Coturnix japonica: one gene and its partners. Each later gene encodes a partner of the first gene's protein in a complex. Links are inferred from orthologs where the notes say so. Each region holds a gene or a part of one and is shown on either strand. Other genes may lie near its edges. The genes, in order: PTPRG, CNTN4 and contactin-6.

Region 1 (6,057 bases):
TCATGGATGATAATTTGCTCTTCGTTAGAGAGGCACAGTCTGTCTTTGCTGATAAGGGTCACAGTAAAGGCCTCACAGTTCATGGATTCCTCTCGACTTGGCCAGTACACAAACTCATCTTCTGCCTGGAGGAAAGGAAAAACACAGCACTGCTGACTTTCAGATACCTTGTGGGTGACTGAAACGTCCAGTGGATCAAAAAATTGGTTTGATACATAGAGATGATCAGGAGCTGACATTTAAAAGATATATTTTGTCTAAAACCAACTTACTATTAGTCTACTAGAAGTCATTAAGCTTGCCAGGCCCCTCTTTTGTGAGTCCAAACAGGTAACACTTGCTTTTTAATTGGTTTCACAGGGAAATGGTTCTCTTACCTCGCTTGTACTTAACCTTTGTGTCATATTACCTCCTGCCTACACAGTTTTTCAAAGAAGTTAGACACTTGTTTAGAAAAAACTCATTGACCTTTACAATTAATTGCTTACTATTCTGAATTTGTACCTATTGTGGTCTAAGCCACAACTCAAGGCTGTCAGTGGAAGGTCTTTGGATCAGATCTGGGTGGAGGATGGACATGAAGGGGTAGAATTTTTAAGGGTGGGAGAAGACGCTGTCTCAGTCCCCTTCCATCCCTCCCTGGAAGCCAACAACAGAAACCAATCAACGGACCAGAGCACAGACATTACTGCCCTACTAGACAGCCTCCATTCTGGGCTCACTGAAGATGAAAGCTGGCACCAAGCATCTTTGCAAGTGACACGGCTGAGTCCAGTGCCCCTCGTTTGCCCTTTAATCATTACTGTTCTGCAGAGACAGTCCAGAGACTTTTGAAGACAAGATCAACCTCTTCATTTCTACCTGTCACTCTCTGTTTCATTAGTACTTTCTGATTCAATCGTATTTCACTGAATGATCTTTGACCTGCATTTGTAATGCACATGGGAAGCATACAGAATGCTGACTCCCTAGTTTTATGACATGATATTTAGTATAATATTTATACTGCTGCCTCTCATGACTGCTATTTTTCAGCTGTAATGGAGGTGGTTTCTCTACCATTCTCAGCTGCAATTGTCTGTGCACCTTAATGATGCATGTATGAAAAAAACACATTTAATTCTTAATCCTTTTGCAGTGTCCTCTTGAGATATGTTAGTAAACCTGGAAGTACTGATTAGCACTTCACTTGTGTCACCTGCTTCTCTCTCTTTGTCTCACAAATTAACATACATGTTAAGCTTACGTTAAAATAACTTCTGTAATCTTGCATAGCCTTAAATCCTGCATGGCCTCAGACTCCTGGAAACAAGCAACTTTTCTAATGTCTTTGCTTTGCATTTTTGCTCCTCTCAAAGTCCTTGCCCTAGTCTTTTATAGCACGCTTAAGGCAAAGTTTAAGAGGGTGACTTGTAAACTGGCTTTGCTTTCAAAAGAAAGTAACTACAGCGTGTAAAGAAATGACCGAGGGGATGTTCAGGCTGGACATTAAGAAAGATGTTTTCTTATAAAGAGTGGTTAGGTATCTGAACAGGCTGCCCGGGGAGGTGGGGGAGTCACCATCCCTGCAGGTGCTCAAGAAAATGGTAGATGCTGCACTTAGTGACGTGGTTTAGTGGGCACAGTGGTGATGGGTTGATGGCTGGACTTGAGGATCTTAGTAGTCTTTTCAAACCTTAATGACTCAGTGACTCTACAGTGGCCTGCTGAGCTAAGTCACTGCTGTACGACAGGGAAGGAGGTGTTTCACTCACCAGGCTCTGGTTGTCCGGCAGCATGACGATGATCTGCGCGTTGTGATCCCAGATCATTCGCCAGAAATCTTTAGTTGTATGTGGCAGCGGATGCTGGGTTATGATGAACTCGTTACTCCTGTAGTAGCCCTTTTCCAGCAAAACAAACCACAGTTACTTATTGCCTTCAATACTTCTGAAGCATTAATTTTATCTCTGGGGACACACGACAACCCTATATCATTCTATATCACAACATTTTTGCACTGACTGTAATTCCGTAATGCCATTTCCAGCCTGCAAAGTCCCTGTTGTTTTCACTTACTCTAAATCCCAGTATTTATTTGACTGTACCTCTGGAAAATATGCATCTAGTATTTAATTTTCTTAAGCAACAATCTTTAATAAAACACAGTTAATAGCTTTACATTATGGGGAAGGTGTTAAAATCTCATCCGCTCATACGCAGCCATTACATACAGAATTAAGACAATTATAGGCATCTGGTATTTAGCACCTCAGAATTGATTTTACTTTGTAATTAGATGTTGGCTTCCTCACCATGATGTAAGAGGCATTAATGTAATCAGTCCCCTTCATTCCAGGCAGTGGTGCCAAGCCCACTCTCGCACGCTCAGCTACAGGACAAAGATAAAAAGAAGAAGAACATCAAAGTCTGGTCATGGCCCATTGCAGAAAGCAGGAATTTCTCAGACGTTAACAAACCAAACACTGCAGCTCCCATCTCCTGCAGGAGCAGGCCAGCACTTAACCGTGTTAAAGCACTGCCTGCTAACCAAAATATAAAAGAGAACGCTGCACAATATTCCCACAAGGACAAAGTAATTTCAGGAATCAAATTTTACTATAGCAAAGATTTTCACAGCAGGCTGAATTACCGAATAACAGTATATGCAGTGATAACAGGGGATTTCAGGTAATTTTTGACTGTAGCATTCTATTTGTTTCTAGCAGCACAAAAACCCAGGTAACTGATTTTGCTTTCCCTACCACTACATAGCACAACCACCGCTCATTCCTCCCATCTGAAAGGTGAGATAACCTTCTTAGATAAAACCCTTCCATCAGGAGGAACAACCCAGAAGCGAGTGAGTGTTCCTCAGCAGGTCTGCACTGCTTAGTGTTTGAGGGTTGGGTTCAGTGACATCACCTGGACATCCAACAGGCTCCTACTGCCAAACTGAAATCACTGCAGCTCCATAACACAATCTGCTAAATCATACAGGCTATTTCAGTCAATTCTCCTTCATTTATAACACATTTCCTGATGATTTTCTTGTTGTTACCAAACTTCACAATGGACTAAATCTGTGCCCACACAGCGCTGCACTACTTTGAGTACTGCTTGTCCTGTATGCCCTGTGCTCTGGGCAATGTGATGGGAATGATGTCGTGACTATGCTTAGTCTTAGCAAGTTCACACTGCCTGGAAACTGTGCACAGATTCCATATTAACGATCGTGAAACTGTGGCCTTGGGCACTAAACACCCTCAAATCTGAGGAAGGCTTGCACACAGAAACTGAATGTACTATAAAGTTAAGTAAATCATAAAAACACTTGTGCCAATCACCCCGGGAGATCTCACCTGAGCTGGGAGCTCCATCAAATTATGACAGTAATCCATAGATTTATCCTCCACCTAATTATTCAAATTCTTAAGCACTTCACATTAACATTCCACTTGGGCAGGATATCTAACTGACACCATAACTATTTTCTTACATTCAGTTTCATCAGAGTAATTCCTCAAGACAAGACAGCTTGGCCTATATAGATCACATTTCTTCCTAGTGGCTACGCCTTTTCATGCATAACAGAGAGTGCTCACTACCAAAAGTGATGCTAGGTGGTAACCAAACCAAAGATGCGATCTTACATGGCACGACTGATGAGTTCCTGTTCTTCTCTTTGTTGCAGTCTTTCTGAGCACTGAAGCATTCCACATATTTTGCATTACACTGTGTAACCAGCTGAAAGAGAATAAAGCAGTAAGTCAGTCCTCACAGCCCTCTAAATGAAGAGAGGTGGTTTCTTTGCCAACTCCTGGGAAGAAGCAGCAGTAGAAGAACACACCGCGTTGTTAAACTTGTTTAAAGTACTCCGGATGCCGATGGAAATCATCCTTTTCATACAATTTGTTTAATGGCTAAAAAGATCACTACAGCTCTCAGCTTTGAAGCATCCTGAAAATGAAGTTCCATCCCAATGCATTTTCACAGAGCAGTACGTTTCGTTACCTTCGAGAATATATTTCAAAGACTTGGAGATACGTTCAGTTGGAAGCAGGTCTGGGGGAAGAACAGCTAGCAAAATAAAACTATGACCAAAAAAACCCCAAACTTTTATGTTTTCTTTCAAACTGAAAGCAAGGCAATTCCTGTAGAATGCCTTTTTAGTTTTTATTTTTATTTTCCTCTGCCAGGCCTTTTGGGAACCCAACACACCAGCAGCAGGGATTTGAGGCTGAGAGTTGTATTATCCGGTCAGCTAAATTCATTCCGGGCAAAATGAAAAGTCAGGGAGGCAGATTTGTCTTTGAATATTCCCCCGGCGTATGGGGAGCTCTCCCAGAGCAAGAAGGGTGAAGGTGGCTTTCCCATCTCCTGCAGTAGCGACTCATTACTCAGTGTAATTTTACTCTCAGTTGGTAAAACCAAACATCTGTATCATGGCACGAGTTATTTTCTGCCAGCTCTGAGCTGGCAGCAGAAATCAGGGATTTAATAATCACTGCTTTCTTAGTCCCAGTTTCAAACCCACTCTAATCACAACAGCACGTAACTCATCTACATACTAGTATTGCTACACTGGAAGTTTCAGTTTCTAAACACTCGTGCAGCCCTAGCAGAGTAAGTCATTTTGGAAAATGGCACTTCAAACGTGCAAATTCTGCCATAAGCCGTAAGAAAACCTCTCCATCCTTATAGCTTGATATGTTTTATAGACGTGGAATCTTTCTTTTCTAGTCAAATGCCTTTTTCTCCTGCATGTGTGTGCACACTCCTGTTCTTGTTTCTTTGACTTTGTAATTAAGCACTTGGAATGTCTTTCTCGATTGAGAGTACTGACATTTCTACAAGTGAATTCTGAGACTACCTTGTTCATTTTTTGGATAGCTTTGCACCTGTTAAAATTTAACAGTTTCAGTTCCTTATGTGGTTAATAAACTGAGTTCAGGTGTGAAAACAGACATCATGTATGATCATATGAAACACAGTCCCAGAAACAAGTTAGAAATGCATTCAAAAAATGCAATCGGAAAATTGTAGGTTTTGTATAGATCAAAGCAAATAATTTTACTTTGGCCATGACAAATGCAGCTATAAAACAGTAGGGAAAAGCAGCAAGCATGGCTATTAGCATTGAGAAAGGCACATTGTGTTTCCTGGCACTGAAGTATTTTAAATTACTTATTTACAACATGGAAATAGCAAGTTGCACAAAGAACCTCAGCTCATTTCTTTCTCCATATATATACATAAGAATCACAGTTTTGAGGAAGACCTCTGGCCAAGTTACCCACAGGCCCGGGAATGCCCAACTCCTTTGAAAAGGGGAGACTGTCAGCAGCACGCTTCAAAGCGCTGCTCGTGTTCCACTTTGCATCTTTGACTTCAAGAGCATCAGAGCTGATTTCCAACAGCATGGCTGACTTGTTGAGCCCTGATGCTGTGCTGTGCTAATCACGTGTTCTGGTTAGGTTCATTATCTCTGACAATGAACAGGGAAGGCACACCAAGCAACACAAAGCGGAGAAATTAGGTCCCTCTGGATGGGAGTGATAAGCCTTACCTTGAACTGTTTTTCTAATCGTGTCTTTCCTCCTATGCCAGGTATGAGGATGCTGTTAACGTAACTATGCAGCTGGTTTGCAGATACTTCAGTCTCCTTCCCAAGGATGGCTTCCAACAAGGCATCATGAATAAAAATGTACTGCTCCTAGATAAACAAAGCATGTCAAGTAAGCACTTGAAATAAACTGCATGGCTGGCTTTAACTGGGGGGTAGAGCACTAAAGGAGGGAATGCAAAACAAACCATCCATGCAAATATGGCCAAACATAAAAGAAACCTTTCACAAGTGTTAACACACACAACTCTGAAGAAGTCATAAGCAAAATCTGAAGTTTCTGGTCTAGAAAAGGAGAGGCATTCCAGTGCAATAAATGTCTTGTGATGTATTCAATACTTACAGGGGTGTAACTGAAAAATCGATTTGCTTTTTGATTGCAACATAAAAATGAACATGGTCATACACTGAGCCCCACTGCAGTCTTTACCTCTGTCTGGACGAGGTAGTTG
Region 2 (5,737 bases), about 4.9 Mb from region 1:
TTTCCAGTAGTAAGATGTACTCAAACCACAATATTACTTGGTACTGGGTGTCTTCAAAACAGCTAGCTAAATGTTGCTTATATTATAAACAAGAAGTCCTCTGTGTAATTTTTGTCATAAACTGGACCGAGCTGTGAGCGAGATCATTATCGTGCTGATGGCTGACAGTGTGCAGGCGTTGGAGGTCGAAGGGCTGCCTCCTCTCGCGTACGCATCTGAGCAAAGAAAAAAGGGAGATCAGCAGAGAGCACTGCAAACCTTCAGCCCACAGCCCTGCCCATTCCCCATGCTCCACCACCACCCCTTCCTGCCCACTGAAATCTCCACTGCTGTTATTCTGAGGCTTCTCCCACATACTTCTTTACAGTTATTCAAGCTGTTATTAACGGCACCAGCCTGGCCCAATCCACATCCTAAAGGACGATCCTAAAGCATCCTATGGGGATACTCCTGCGTGGAGCCAAATAGGAACTGGCGTGCGCTCCTGCTCTGCTGTGTCTGCTGATGAAATCCCTCTGCAGGGTTAGTATGGCCACAGCACACAACCAGGGGGAGATAATTCTGCTCTCACACAGGGCTTTTCACATCGCTGTAATTTTAATGCCACATTCCTGCATTGCAGAGGCAGCTGATTTAATGCAGCTTATAAACTGCGGTATTATTAATGGAAGATGGGACATGGAGATTTTGCAAAAGCAATGTTGAGTAATAAAATACTCTCTTTTCTGTTTGTTCTTCTGCACAACCTCATTTCCCTAAATAAATATTTATGCATCCAACACAGAATGGAATATTGCTATATAGTAGCCTTATAAATTTAAAAGTCTCTGAACACTGCGTTTTATATTTTGTTATAGTGAGTTGCAGTGAAACAATATATTCAGTATATATGAGTATGGAAGTAGGAAGCAGAAAGTGTGTAGAAATCTTAAAACAGAACCGTAAGCGCTTATGACAGCATCTCTCATAGTTTAACCTTGGCTCAGGCTGGAGCTGGGACCCTGAGCTGTGCTGGATGCTGAATTTCTGCCCCCCCAGGGCATGATGCCCATGCCCAGGTCCCACTGGCTGCTCCTGGGGTGACACAGGGTAGAGGGGCACCTGCTCCCTGGCCTTACTCGAGATCTTTGGGATCCGGATCTGCTCGCTGCTGCTGCCATCGCCCCCGTCACTGAAGGGCTTTATCTCGATGATGTAGTCCTCATCAAAGGGCAGGGAGAGCTCCACCGAGGTCCTGTTGGTTTCAATCACAGATGCACTGCTCTGCCTGTTCCACCTGTACAAAACCTGTGGGAGAGCAATGAGGAAGCACAAACAGCAGAAGCACTCGTTGCTGTAGGAGCATCTGGTCTGACCACTGCTCTTCACACACCTCAAGTACCCAGTGACACCCAGACACACAGTCTGGTCACCAAGGTGCAGTCCTGACCCCAGCAGCCACTACTGCCCTCCCCACCTAAACTACTTCTTAAATTCACCTGCTAAGAACCACAAGTCCTATTAATTAGCACCACAAATTGTGGCATAATTCTGAAGATTTCCAGAAAAAAAAACACCAAAAATTGGGCAGTGTTTTGCTGTGAGCCGGGAAGGAATGTGAGTTATCCTAACCGTAAGTAAAGAAAGGAACTTTTAGACACCTGTGAGACAGATTCTGCCTTTTCAAGGGTATGAGAGGCTCTTTCACCTGTTTCAACTGACTTCTTAATTTGCATTTCAGACCAAAAATGTGTAGGGATGAGACAGTCTGAACTGCTGGGATTCATCTGGGGTTTCTGACTGAAAGCCCCGAGAAATTCCTTACTTTTGATTATTCAGCAGAGTGCATCAAAGATACTTAGAAGTGAGGGCAGACATGAGAGCTGGCACAAACACATGAGTCTGATGCTGCCAAACTGTGGGCTGTGAACAGAAAATGAAGCGTGCCCAGGTCCTTCACTGCTTCCAGCTCTGGTGGAAATGCTCACATAGCCCAGCCCCAGAGGCAATGGCTGGCATTCACTCACTGGTGTCTTCTTTGGGCCAAATTAAACCCTCGTGGAAGGTGATGGAGCTGAATTCTTCCCAAGATTTCTCTCTGGTTAAATTAAACCCTATTAAAACAGCTACTAATGAGGATTCTCTTTCTTTTCTTTTGGCTTTGCTTTCTGAAGAAAATAGAGCTATTAAAAAAGCATTTTATTTATCTGCAATTAAGGAGCTGGCTACAGCCTCTGGAAGGTTTCCACCCAAGGTCCTACTGTAAACCCCAAACTCAATACAGGATAATGAACATTCCCATTAAAGCCCAGTGCAAGAATTTGGGGACAGCCAATGCTCCATCAGGACTCCCTGCATGTCCCAATGGAGGCTGTGTATGACCCGTGCTGGCAAACACTCACTTTGTAGCCCCGCACTTCTGACTCATTATCCAGTGCTTTCACCTGGTCCCAGTTCAGTATGATCTTGGAGTCTGATGAGTTCCATATGATGTTCCCAGGGGGTTGACTTGGTGCTATGGCAAACCAGAGAAAGCATTCTGTGACTGTGGAGTGCCATTGGCAGTCAGATCCCTCCCCATACCCTTCCAACTTGTCCCATCCCAGCTTATGAGCTGATCTCCCTGAGGTCACAGCAGCTGTGACACTGCACTGTCTTCTGGCTGTAAAGGTATGCATTCAGGTGCTCAACATGCCCAAGACAAGAAGAAAAAAACCTCTTGAACAAGATAAATACTTAATGTTCCTACACAGCTGTGATTTTAATTTTGCAAGCTCTGCTTACTTAACATGGAGAAGAACCTTACCAAGAAATGGCTAATCCTTCTGCACAAAGAAAACAGCAAATAAATATCTCCCAGTTCCTTAGGCTCAATTAAAACTAGGAGAGCTGGCAGAGACCCTCTCCAGGCAGAGCACGGCCTACTGTCCTGAGCACTCACGTGGCTTTTTTGTCGTCACGTTGACCACGGCGCTGGACGGGCCGGTGCCAGCAGTGTTGTATGCCTTGACTGCCAGGTGATAGAGTGCATTGCCTTGCAAGTTGGTGACTTTGGCAGATGTCTGGTTACCAACTGTCCTGATCCTTCTCGCGTTCTCTTCCTTTTCGTCATGTCTCCAACACCTGACCTGCAAGACAAAGTGAGCGCTTCAACCCCAGCTGCAGGCAGGCAGCATCCTGGTGGTTCCTAGCTCTATGATACTTCTGCCCAAAGAGGTTCTCTGTGTCTCATCTGGGCAAGTCTTGCTGTTTTTCCCACCTCAGGGGAGATGCCAAGGATTAAACAGGATACCTTCTGTCCTTAAACTCGGGGCTGCTTATGACCACTGCTTTGGTCTGAGATGGAAGAAATGACCTGCAAACTATGGACTTTCCCAAGAAGCTTGCTGATGTCAGAGCAGCCTGTCTGGTCATCAGCACACACTGTCTGACCACAGCAAGTTCCCATCTGCATTTCACACAGACAGATGTGTCACCTTTTACCGCGGAAGAGAATGAACCTTTTCTTACTGCTGAAAGAGTAAGGCACTGCTCAGCAGGACCACACAGTAGGAGCAGTGCTGCCCCAAACTGCTTAGCACACAGCCCTGGAACCACGCCGTGGCTCCCTGCCTTACCTCATAGCCCTGTATCCTTCCTTTGTGCTGATTCTCTCGAGGAGGAGCCCAAGAAATTTCAATGTCTGTGGCAGAAAGGCTTCTGGCGAGAACTGTGACTGGAGCTCTGGTTGGCTCTGGGTAGAAGAGTTAAAAATAAAATCAGAGTTTTCAATTCTATGTTTAATTAGTCACTAACTTCAAGGGAATTTCATTATTGCATGCGAAAAGAGGCATGTGACAAAAACAAACTTTCCCATTTCAAAACAAAGCCCTGTCAGGCCTGTGCTAGACTGCACTTCCCCTTTGCAAGAGAAATAATAAATGTCATTACTAAGCCCAACCTAGGATACCATGTACAGTAATTAGGACAAGAGGGAACATTTTCTAATCAGTGGACATTAATTCATACTAAATCTCTGCTGAATTCTTTCCAGATTACATATTGCTTTTTCATTAATATCAAAAGATTTCATTACGATTAATGTTATTTTAATGACTATCAAAAGAATTAATCACGGTGCACCATTTATTATAAATCAGAGCAAGGATTAGGAATCAAAAAATGTCAATGCGGATGCTGAACCCTCTCTGATCCGCGGATGATGGCAAGGCGGGGGAGGGGGGATGGGCTCCTCACACTACCTTCCTCTGCCGAGTACACGACTGTCACGGGACTGAAGGAGCCTTCCCCCTTGTTATTGTACACCCCCACTTTCACTTCGTAGGGCGAGAAGGGCGGCAGGCTCTCGTTGCGGAAGACGTATCTGGAGGCGTCTGGCGAGGCCACGACGGTCTGCATCCAGCTGATGGTGCCGAAGGGGCGGAAGGCCACCACGTAGCCAAAGCCACCTCCGTTCTGCAGCTCCTCAGGCACGGTCTGTGGGCAGACAAAGCATGGAGAGGTGGCAAGTTGAGCAATTGCATTTATTTCCCTATTGCTTCTTGGTCCTTCCTAAGTCTAGGGTTAGCAGCTGGAAGCTCAAATGGGCCTATGGACACCCAAAGTTTCAATGTATGACAATATTCTGTAATGATGGGCCACTGTCCTGTGTGTCAAGGGGTTACTTTTGGTGGCGGCGTCGCTCTGCAGTCCAAGGCTCAAAAATATAAAATACCAGGCCATTAGAAAGATGGCCTCTGGATGTTTATGAGAATAAATTGACTGTTGTGTTGGAATACAAATTATATTCTGTGCAAATTATGAGTCAAAGTCACGGCTGATGTTCTTGTGTTTTTGAAACATATTGGAGTATCTGTAGGAGATGCAGCGAAACTAATTAGTCCAATGGAGGGGGAAATTTAGCACATTGAGCTGTGTGGTAAGGAGAAAAACCCATTTATAGTTTTTTAATAACCTTAAAAATATCTCTGGTGATTCATTCTGCCAGCTTGGTCAGGAACAGTGCTAAGTGGAAGTGTTAGCATGTCTAGTGAAGTTCATTATTAGGAAAAATACGCCAGCTGCATCACATCATAACATGAAAATACGAGCAGACAAATGACTAAAGTTCTAGCCCTGGCTGCCTTAAGGAATATTAAACATTCTTCATCTCTGCATCTCCTCTTGCTGGCTTTCATTAGCAGCAGTAAAAACCAGCGTGAATTGCATTGTGCTAACTCTTAACCATTTGCTGCCACATAACACAGCACCAAGGTAAGGGCTGAGGCTCAGGAGTTGCCCTTGGTTCGCAGCACCATATTCATTCTCCTCTTGGTTTGGTCTCCACTCACCTCCCACGTAATGACCAGCTCTGACTTGCTGCCTCCACCTCCACTGACATTGGCTGGGGTGACTTCAGGAACTGCAAAAAATTAAAACAAGATGCAGAACTGTAGATAGCACTGAAAACGCATGTGGGGATTCTGAAACCAGAGGAGTGTGTTGAAATGAACCAGCTACAGGACTCTGCTGGCCTTCCTCTGCTGGGTATCGGAAACATGAGCAAATGACTAATTTGCCACAGCAAACAGCACATTAAAAGTATGTCAATAATCGTATATGAAAAGTATGTCAATTAACTTGTGTATTCAGCCTCTAATTGTTTAGTTTAAACATTTATCTTCCATAAAAAGGGCTTTTACATATTTTCCTATTTCACAGCCCGTTCCATTACAGCCTAACATGGAGCAGAAGAACACATCCTCTATGAGCAGCTGGG
Region 3 (6,012 bases), about 4.3 Mb from region 1:
CTAATTCACTTCTGTCTTCCGGCTTATGTTCCCAATCCTACCCACTGTCAGGTTTATAGACCAGATCTTATCTCCGAGTTATTTTTAGCCTAGGACAGTGTCCTGAAAGGTACACAAGGACTTTGTGCGGTTTATGTAGAGCTCTGGAAACTTTTGACTCATTATGAGCCAGTGCCAGCTTTTGGGGTGACAATCACCCACGCTCTGGCCCTAACAGGACCCCAATGGAAGGTTTTATGGTTGAAAAGGTTTATATAGCTTTTGACTGCTGGAAACCCTGTAAAGTTCTGTTTGATCTGCATTTAAAAAATAAAATTAAATTAAAAAAAATAAAGCCAGACAGCTTTCCCTGCCAGAATATGGTAATTGTTCAAAATGAAATGTCAATGTCAATGAAATTTTGTTCTGAAAGAAAACTGGGCAAAAAATACAACATTTTGGTAACATTTAAATGTTCTATCTTGACCTTTAGGAACAGACTGTTTTGATATTCATTTTTGTCTTCGCTGTGTCATTTGTAAAAGATATAGGCATAATCTTCAATACATGATAATATGTTTCAGAAAATGAAAATCAGAACTAACCAGCTTTTAATAGGAACACAGTGCAGAATTTCAGAAGTTCAAAGTTCAAACATATTTGTTACAGTACTTTCCAAGTGAAAATATTGGATCTTGAAGTGAATAATCTATCTTTAGTGGGGACATCTTTGTTTTCATTCCCAATTGGAAATGAGAACACTCTAAAAGCAAACCAGTGACAAGAAGCAAGGGTTAATCAGTTATAACCAACTCTTGGTCTATTTACACTTGATGCAACTTTTAAAAAGCACTCTCATTATTTAAAAACAATAATAATAATGAGGAAATACTTATATTCCATTTCAAATTGTATTCCTAATTAAAAGCAGGACTGCTAATTACAATGCCTGTCTACTTTGGAAGGTGCTGCAAGGCTTAATTAATTGTCAGTGAAGTCATTTGAGATGCTCGCACAATGGACACGTAAGATTGGTTATGTTAATCAGGTGGATGGCTCTGTGAGCTGTGCATCAAGAGGGGACTGATCCAGTCATGTCCCTGTGGTGCTGGTGAAGGATGTACCTACAGCCCATGAGATCCTGTGGACCTGTTGCCTCCATCTTACAAAGGGAAGTTTAGGAATCTGAGGCATTTCCTGGGCAGCTCTTTGCAAGGGTTGAGTAGAATCCAGATCTCTTGAAACAAGCCTGAAGCACCATCCTTCTGTACAGACAAATTAAAGAAACCTCCTCCAGCCCTCTACTTTTAGGCGGCACATCTTTAACTTCTCTCCGAGCATTACTTCATTTGTCTTCAAAGCTGTCTCAATAGCCACGTCCAGTTAGAGCAAACTCAGTGCATCTCAGCAGTGCCTTTGAATGGGCTGGTCACAAGTCCAAAGAGAAACCCACTGCACCCCTCCATGACCAGAACACATGGATGGAGGGAAGCAGCAGCCTGAAAGGATAGGTATGGTGGCAGAAGGGACATCACTCAGCTTACAGCTGGGGTGAATGCCAACCAAGTCATGTAGAGGTGTGCACCTCCTCTTCTGCAGACTGAGATGTTTTGTCTGCTCCAGGCACCTGTGTACTGCTGTGTGTTTTTGCCACCTGACTTCCACTTCCTCTCCACTTTGCCAATGCTCAGACAGGCATGCAATTAATCCCATTACAAACTAATGGATTTACACCACGATTACATTAAAACGTGGTGAAGCAGTGCCTGTGACACAACTGTACTTTTCTTGGCAGGAACATTCTGAAAACTGCTCTTTCCACTTCCATCCCTCGTGAATACAAATAACTTTTGCTTACTAACGGAAAGTCATTTCCCTGTCTGAGCTTTGCATTTGATCTCTGCTGAAGCAGTCTCAAGAGGAAAAACGGAAATCTAAGAAGTTTGTGTGTAATAAGGATTTATGTCTCTGCTTCTTCAAACAAACAAGCCTTTTTTGTTGTTGTTTTGCTTTTCAATATGCAAAATATGAGGGGCATTTAAATGCTTCAGGACGACAGTCAGCGCTGGGATACAGCGACTCAGCTCCCATGTGATGGGCTTCGTATTATGGAGTTCAGGAAGTGACTGTGTAACCCGGGACTAAACAAAATATTTCTACTCCTGTTCTAAACCCAATACTGAGTGTGACCCAATTTCCAGGTAGGGAGGTTTTCTGATTACCTGACAGGAGCTCCTATTTGTAGGAAAAGAATAGCAAGAGCACATTTAATCTTTCATGCTACGAGTCTGACAGCTGTGTTTTCACTCTCAGCTTGCTTGAAGGATGATCAGTGAAGAGCTAATTTTCCTACGTTCAAGATTTGCAGATAGGAATATGCATACACTGTAGTACCTGTTTATCTGCTTCAAGCATTAATTGTGTGGGTTCTAGCACGAGTGCAGCAGGAAAGCAGTGTATTTCATGGTTAATACCAGTGAAGAGACACGCAATGCTCAGTGGATAAAAGGCTTCTAGTCCCAGCTGGGAAAATAGTTCCATTATCTCCCAGCTGCATAGACCTTCCATACGGCTCCGTTCTGCCTCGATGAACACTGTGCCTTGCTGAGAGCTTGAAACAGTTCTGCAGAAAATTGTAAAGATCCTGAGACATTTCACTGTTAAGATCTGTAAGTACAGAATTGTGCTGTCTACTGCAATGTGAATAATGCTGGGGGAACTGTCTTTTTTTTGTTGTTGTTTTGGTTTAAAATCAGTATTTTTTCATTAGCATAAGGGGTAGAGAATGAAGAAAATTCACTGCTTTATTTATGTTTTTCTATCTCTAAATGGCTGATGGTCCAAATGTATACATTTTTGGAAGAGACAAATATATACATAATGAATTTGTATGCATGCGAGGTCTGAGTCAAACAGAGTAGGAGACTGTGCTGGTAACAGACACTACAGGTATATTTTTTGAGAGTATCACAGCTCACTGCTGCAGTAACACGGATAACACAGAGGATGACAGTGCTAATTTTGCCACTTTCATAAGACTTTGTGCAGCATATAAATAACGAGGTGGGTAATGAGAGACCAATCGAATTTCTACCAGCTGAAGGTGTAAAAGCAATCAACATAAATCCTAAGAAAATTTAAGCAAGCCTTTAAAGGAAGCCTTTCCTCTTGCTTGTTTTAACAATTAAAAAAGTCAAGGTAACAGCATTCTGTTTTTGCAAGATGTGCAAAGGTTTATTTTTGACCCTGTCATTTACTTACAGAGTATGACACAGCCATAAAGAAATGTGACGCTTTATAAAAAGTTTTGGAAGTCCACATTTGCAGAAGCAACTGCTTGACTAGCGCCTTCTGTTAAACCATGTACTCCCATGGTGCTCTTTAGGCAAACACCTCGACTCAGACAGTTGTTGCATGTCTGAAGGGTCTCCTCCAGCAGCCTCTAAACCATCAGGCTGAATGCTAACAATTTCCTGCAGCACTTAAGCACCTGAATGATTAAACAAGAGGCAAACACTCTGCACCCTATTTAAATAAGTTGCTTGTCCTTTTGACAAGGCTGCAGCCAATTTCAGGTAAATATAACGAGTTAAAAGAATCAGACTATTTATGAAATAGCATTTCCTCCACCCTTTTTATTCTCTTCCTCCCAAGAGGGTCGAAGTGCCACACCAGCAATTCTTCAAGTTTTACAAGTTCACTGAGTTGTGTGTATGTATGTAAACTCTGCAGCATTTGTAATTCCAGGCACCACACCACCACAAAGAACCCATCCCCATCAGCCAGCTTTTGTTTTGGTGCTCCTGAGGCACTATATCAGTGTTTCACGTTCCATGAGTCCCTGCTTGAGAGGTTTTATGACATTAAAAAGTCCCAACTCAGTACCTGGAGGAAGTTAGCAACTATTGTATATCAAATTTTATTGTTTAAAAAAGAAAAATAAAACACTCCAACGTATCCAGCTATAGTTTTCAAATGGTGGTGAGGTACTGATTGCTATGTATTAGGTGTGTTACCTTCCATGCTGAGGATGAAATTATAATAATATATAACAATGTAAGTGCTTTAAATCAAAGAAGAGACGTGTTTCTTCCAGCTCTTCAGTCAGTATTAGAAAGGTTTGTGGTGCATAGTAGGCTCCCCTAAAACTAATTTCTTGCTGCTGAAGCAAATATTGCAATCACAAAACAAGGTGCCAGCATCCCCAAAAGGACCTGAAATACAAAGTTGTGCATTTGCATTACATGCCCATAAAACACTATTTGTAACTGGGCAGGAAATTTCCATTAGGTTTATCTCTGTATTGGAAGTATATAGGACTACATCAACTCTTCAAAATGACATTCAGTGATCTTTTCCCCCTCAGCCCAGAAGCTGAATTAACTCCACGTTACCAAAAGACAATATTCCTTTTGTTTAAGATTAGGACTGACTTCATTGCAAAGGGTTGCTGCTGCTTGCCTGCTCACAGTCCCTCCTCAACCCAGCCAGCTGCCTTCAGGCCCCACTCACGGCAACCATGCCCCAAACCCACCTCTACCCACGTGAACTCCAGAGGAGGGAAAAAAAATGCCAAAACCCCTTTTATCCTTCTTATCAAAGGCTGCACTCAGCGTGGATTAGAGCTAGGTATGAGGGCACGTTTGCAGCTTGGTCTGCTAGGCGCGAAGCAATCTCTTTACAAAACAAAGGCTCAAGTAACTTCAGACAGTTTTCCAACCACACAGATACCTGCACTGGTAATTTATCTCTGGGATACCAAAAACCCAGCATTGTGGGAAAACAGCACTCTGTAACACCCTTATTTCCGCTCCAAACCTAGCACACTTCTGTAAGGCCTTCTTATGAACACACAAACTTTCTATAAATGCAGAATACTCAGGGAAAAAAAGTAGTCTGCGCCGCTGGAAAAGTAACTTTGAAAAGCTGAAGCATCAGAAAGAAAACCAACCCACATCACGGTAAATCAGAACGTGGCACTTACAGTTCTGTGCCTTGTCAGGGGAACAACCAGATGCGGCCCAAGGCAGAACACCAAGGCTGCTGCTGAGCAGACCAGCTCAGCTCTGAGAGAGGTGACAGCAGGATATTGCTACACAAAATGTAACAACAGCTAAATATGAGGATCTGGATCTACCGGATTGAAACACTTGGAGATTTCCAGGCTGAGGAGCTGGGCTCTGCCAGCTCACACCTGCAGCTCCTCGGCTGAGCAGGTCAGGCCCAGCTGTTCTGCCCCCCAGCAGATAATTAACAGCTCTTAACAACCCATTAATGGGCAGTAATTCATCTTACACAACTGTTGATTTGCTGTTGCTGTAGGAAGCATGTGGGGGTGGATAACCTAGGCCTGCAGTGAGGGCTTTTTCTCCTCTCTGCGTGGACGTTTCTGTTGCATTGCGGTATGCTGAAATCTTCTAGGATTCTTTCCCAGAATATTTGCTTAACTTTAGAAAACATGGGAAGGGCACAGCGGGAGAAACACCTGTCTTAAAATGGTCTTTCCTGAGCTCTCCTGGATTTGCAAGTGGCTTTGGACCTGCCTTGCCCTGTGCTTTACTTCTTCCTCATTAAGATGCACAGTCGTCCCCTGGTGCCATCTCAAAGACAGGATTTGTATGTCTGCAAGATATAGAACAGAGCTGAGAAGGACCAGCCTCGAATCACCAGAAGGACAGAGCTGTGAGCTGCTGACACGAGCAGAGAAAAGCAGCTCCTCCGCTGGTAGGTACACGATTGCATTTTCACAAGTGCAGCAGTCTCCGTGCTCTGCTGGAGGACAGGAGACAGATGATCCCTCCTGCACTGCTGGCAGCAGCTGTGCAACATTTAATCAGGTTGCGTGTTATTGGCATATTTCCTGGTCGGCTTACTTTGTTTTGTCCTCGATAACTTAGTGCTTTAAACTCCCCATGTCAGTGTCTCCAGGCTGCTGCTGCTCCTCCTTGTCCTCCTGCCAGCACCCGGAGCAGGCTGGGCTGAGGACAGTACTAACATCATGCTATATGCTCTTCTGGGCTCAGTAAAGAGGCT

Evidence for each region.
Region 2: the proteins of PTPRG (region 1) and CNTN4 are in contact, whole or in part, in a crystal structure (PDB 3KLD), measured with the Mus musculus proteins. The link is inferred for Coturnix japonica from reciprocal best matches to the Homo sapiens genes PTPRG and CNTN4. Residues at the interface, in NP_033007.2 of Mus musculus: Lys222, Val225, His226, His227, Lys229, Phe288, Thr290, Gln293, Asp294, His295, Val296, Lys297, Ser298, Val299, Glu300, Tyr301; in NP_001103219.1 of Mus musculus: Thr128, Arg129, Ser130, Val132, Ser133, Arg135, Gln138, Gly139, Met140, Val141, Leu142, Leu143, Cys144, Gly145, Val219, Met220, Gly221, Glu222, Tyr223, Glu224, Pro225, Lys226, Glu228, Leu250, Asn304.
Region 3: the proteins of PTPRG (region 1) and contactin-6 are in contact, whole or in part, in a crystal structure (PDB 5E5U), measured with the Mus musculus proteins. The link is inferred for Coturnix japonica from reciprocal best matches to the Homo sapiens genes PTPRG and CNTN6. Residues at the interface, in NP_033007.2 of Mus musculus: Val225, His226, His227, Lys229, Phe288, Thr290, Gln292, Gln293, Asp294, His295, Val296, Lys297, Ser298, Val299, Glu300, Tyr301; in NP_059079.2 of Mus musculus: Arg129, Val132, Arg135, Gln138, Gly139, Val140, Val141, Leu142, Leu143, Cys144, Gly145, Met222, Gly223, Tyr225, Glu226, Pro227, Lys228, Glu230, Leu252, Asn306.

What each region holds. Positions count from the first base shown.
Region 1 is NC_029527.1:10,565,405-10,571,461, reverse strand, and holds part of PTPRG (receptor-type tyrosine-protein phosphatase gamma), read right to left. Parts: coding exon 6,036-6,057; intron 5,696-6,035; coding exon 5,549-5,695; intron 3,727-5,548; coding exon 3,633-3,726; intron 2,372-3,632; coding exon 2,295-2,371; intron 1,884-2,294; coding exon 1,755-1,883; intron 126-1,754; coding exon 1-125.
Region 2 is NC_029527.1:15,462,461-15,468,197, reverse strand, and holds part of CNTN4 (contactin-4), read right to left. Parts: intron 5,381-5,737; coding exon 5,310-5,380; intron 4,456-5,309; coding exon 4,221-4,455; intron 3,713-4,220; coding exon 3,597-3,712; intron 3,108-3,596; coding exon 2,921-3,107; intron 2,495-2,920; coding exon 2,382-2,494; intron 1,288-2,381; coding exon 1,119-1,287; intron 216-1,118; coding exon 115-215; 3' UTR 1-114. UniProt on the Homo sapiens protein: Contactins mediate cell surface interactions during nervous system development. Has some neurite outgrowth-promoting activity. May be involved in synaptogenesis.
Region 3 is NC_029527.1:14,909,888-14,915,899, forward strand, and holds the start of contactin-6, read left to right. Parts: upstream 1-1,885; 5' UTR 1,886-2,648; intron 2,649-6,012. UniProt on the Homo sapiens protein: Contactins mediate cell surface interactions during nervous system development. Participates in oligodendrocytes generation by acting as a ligand of NOTCH1.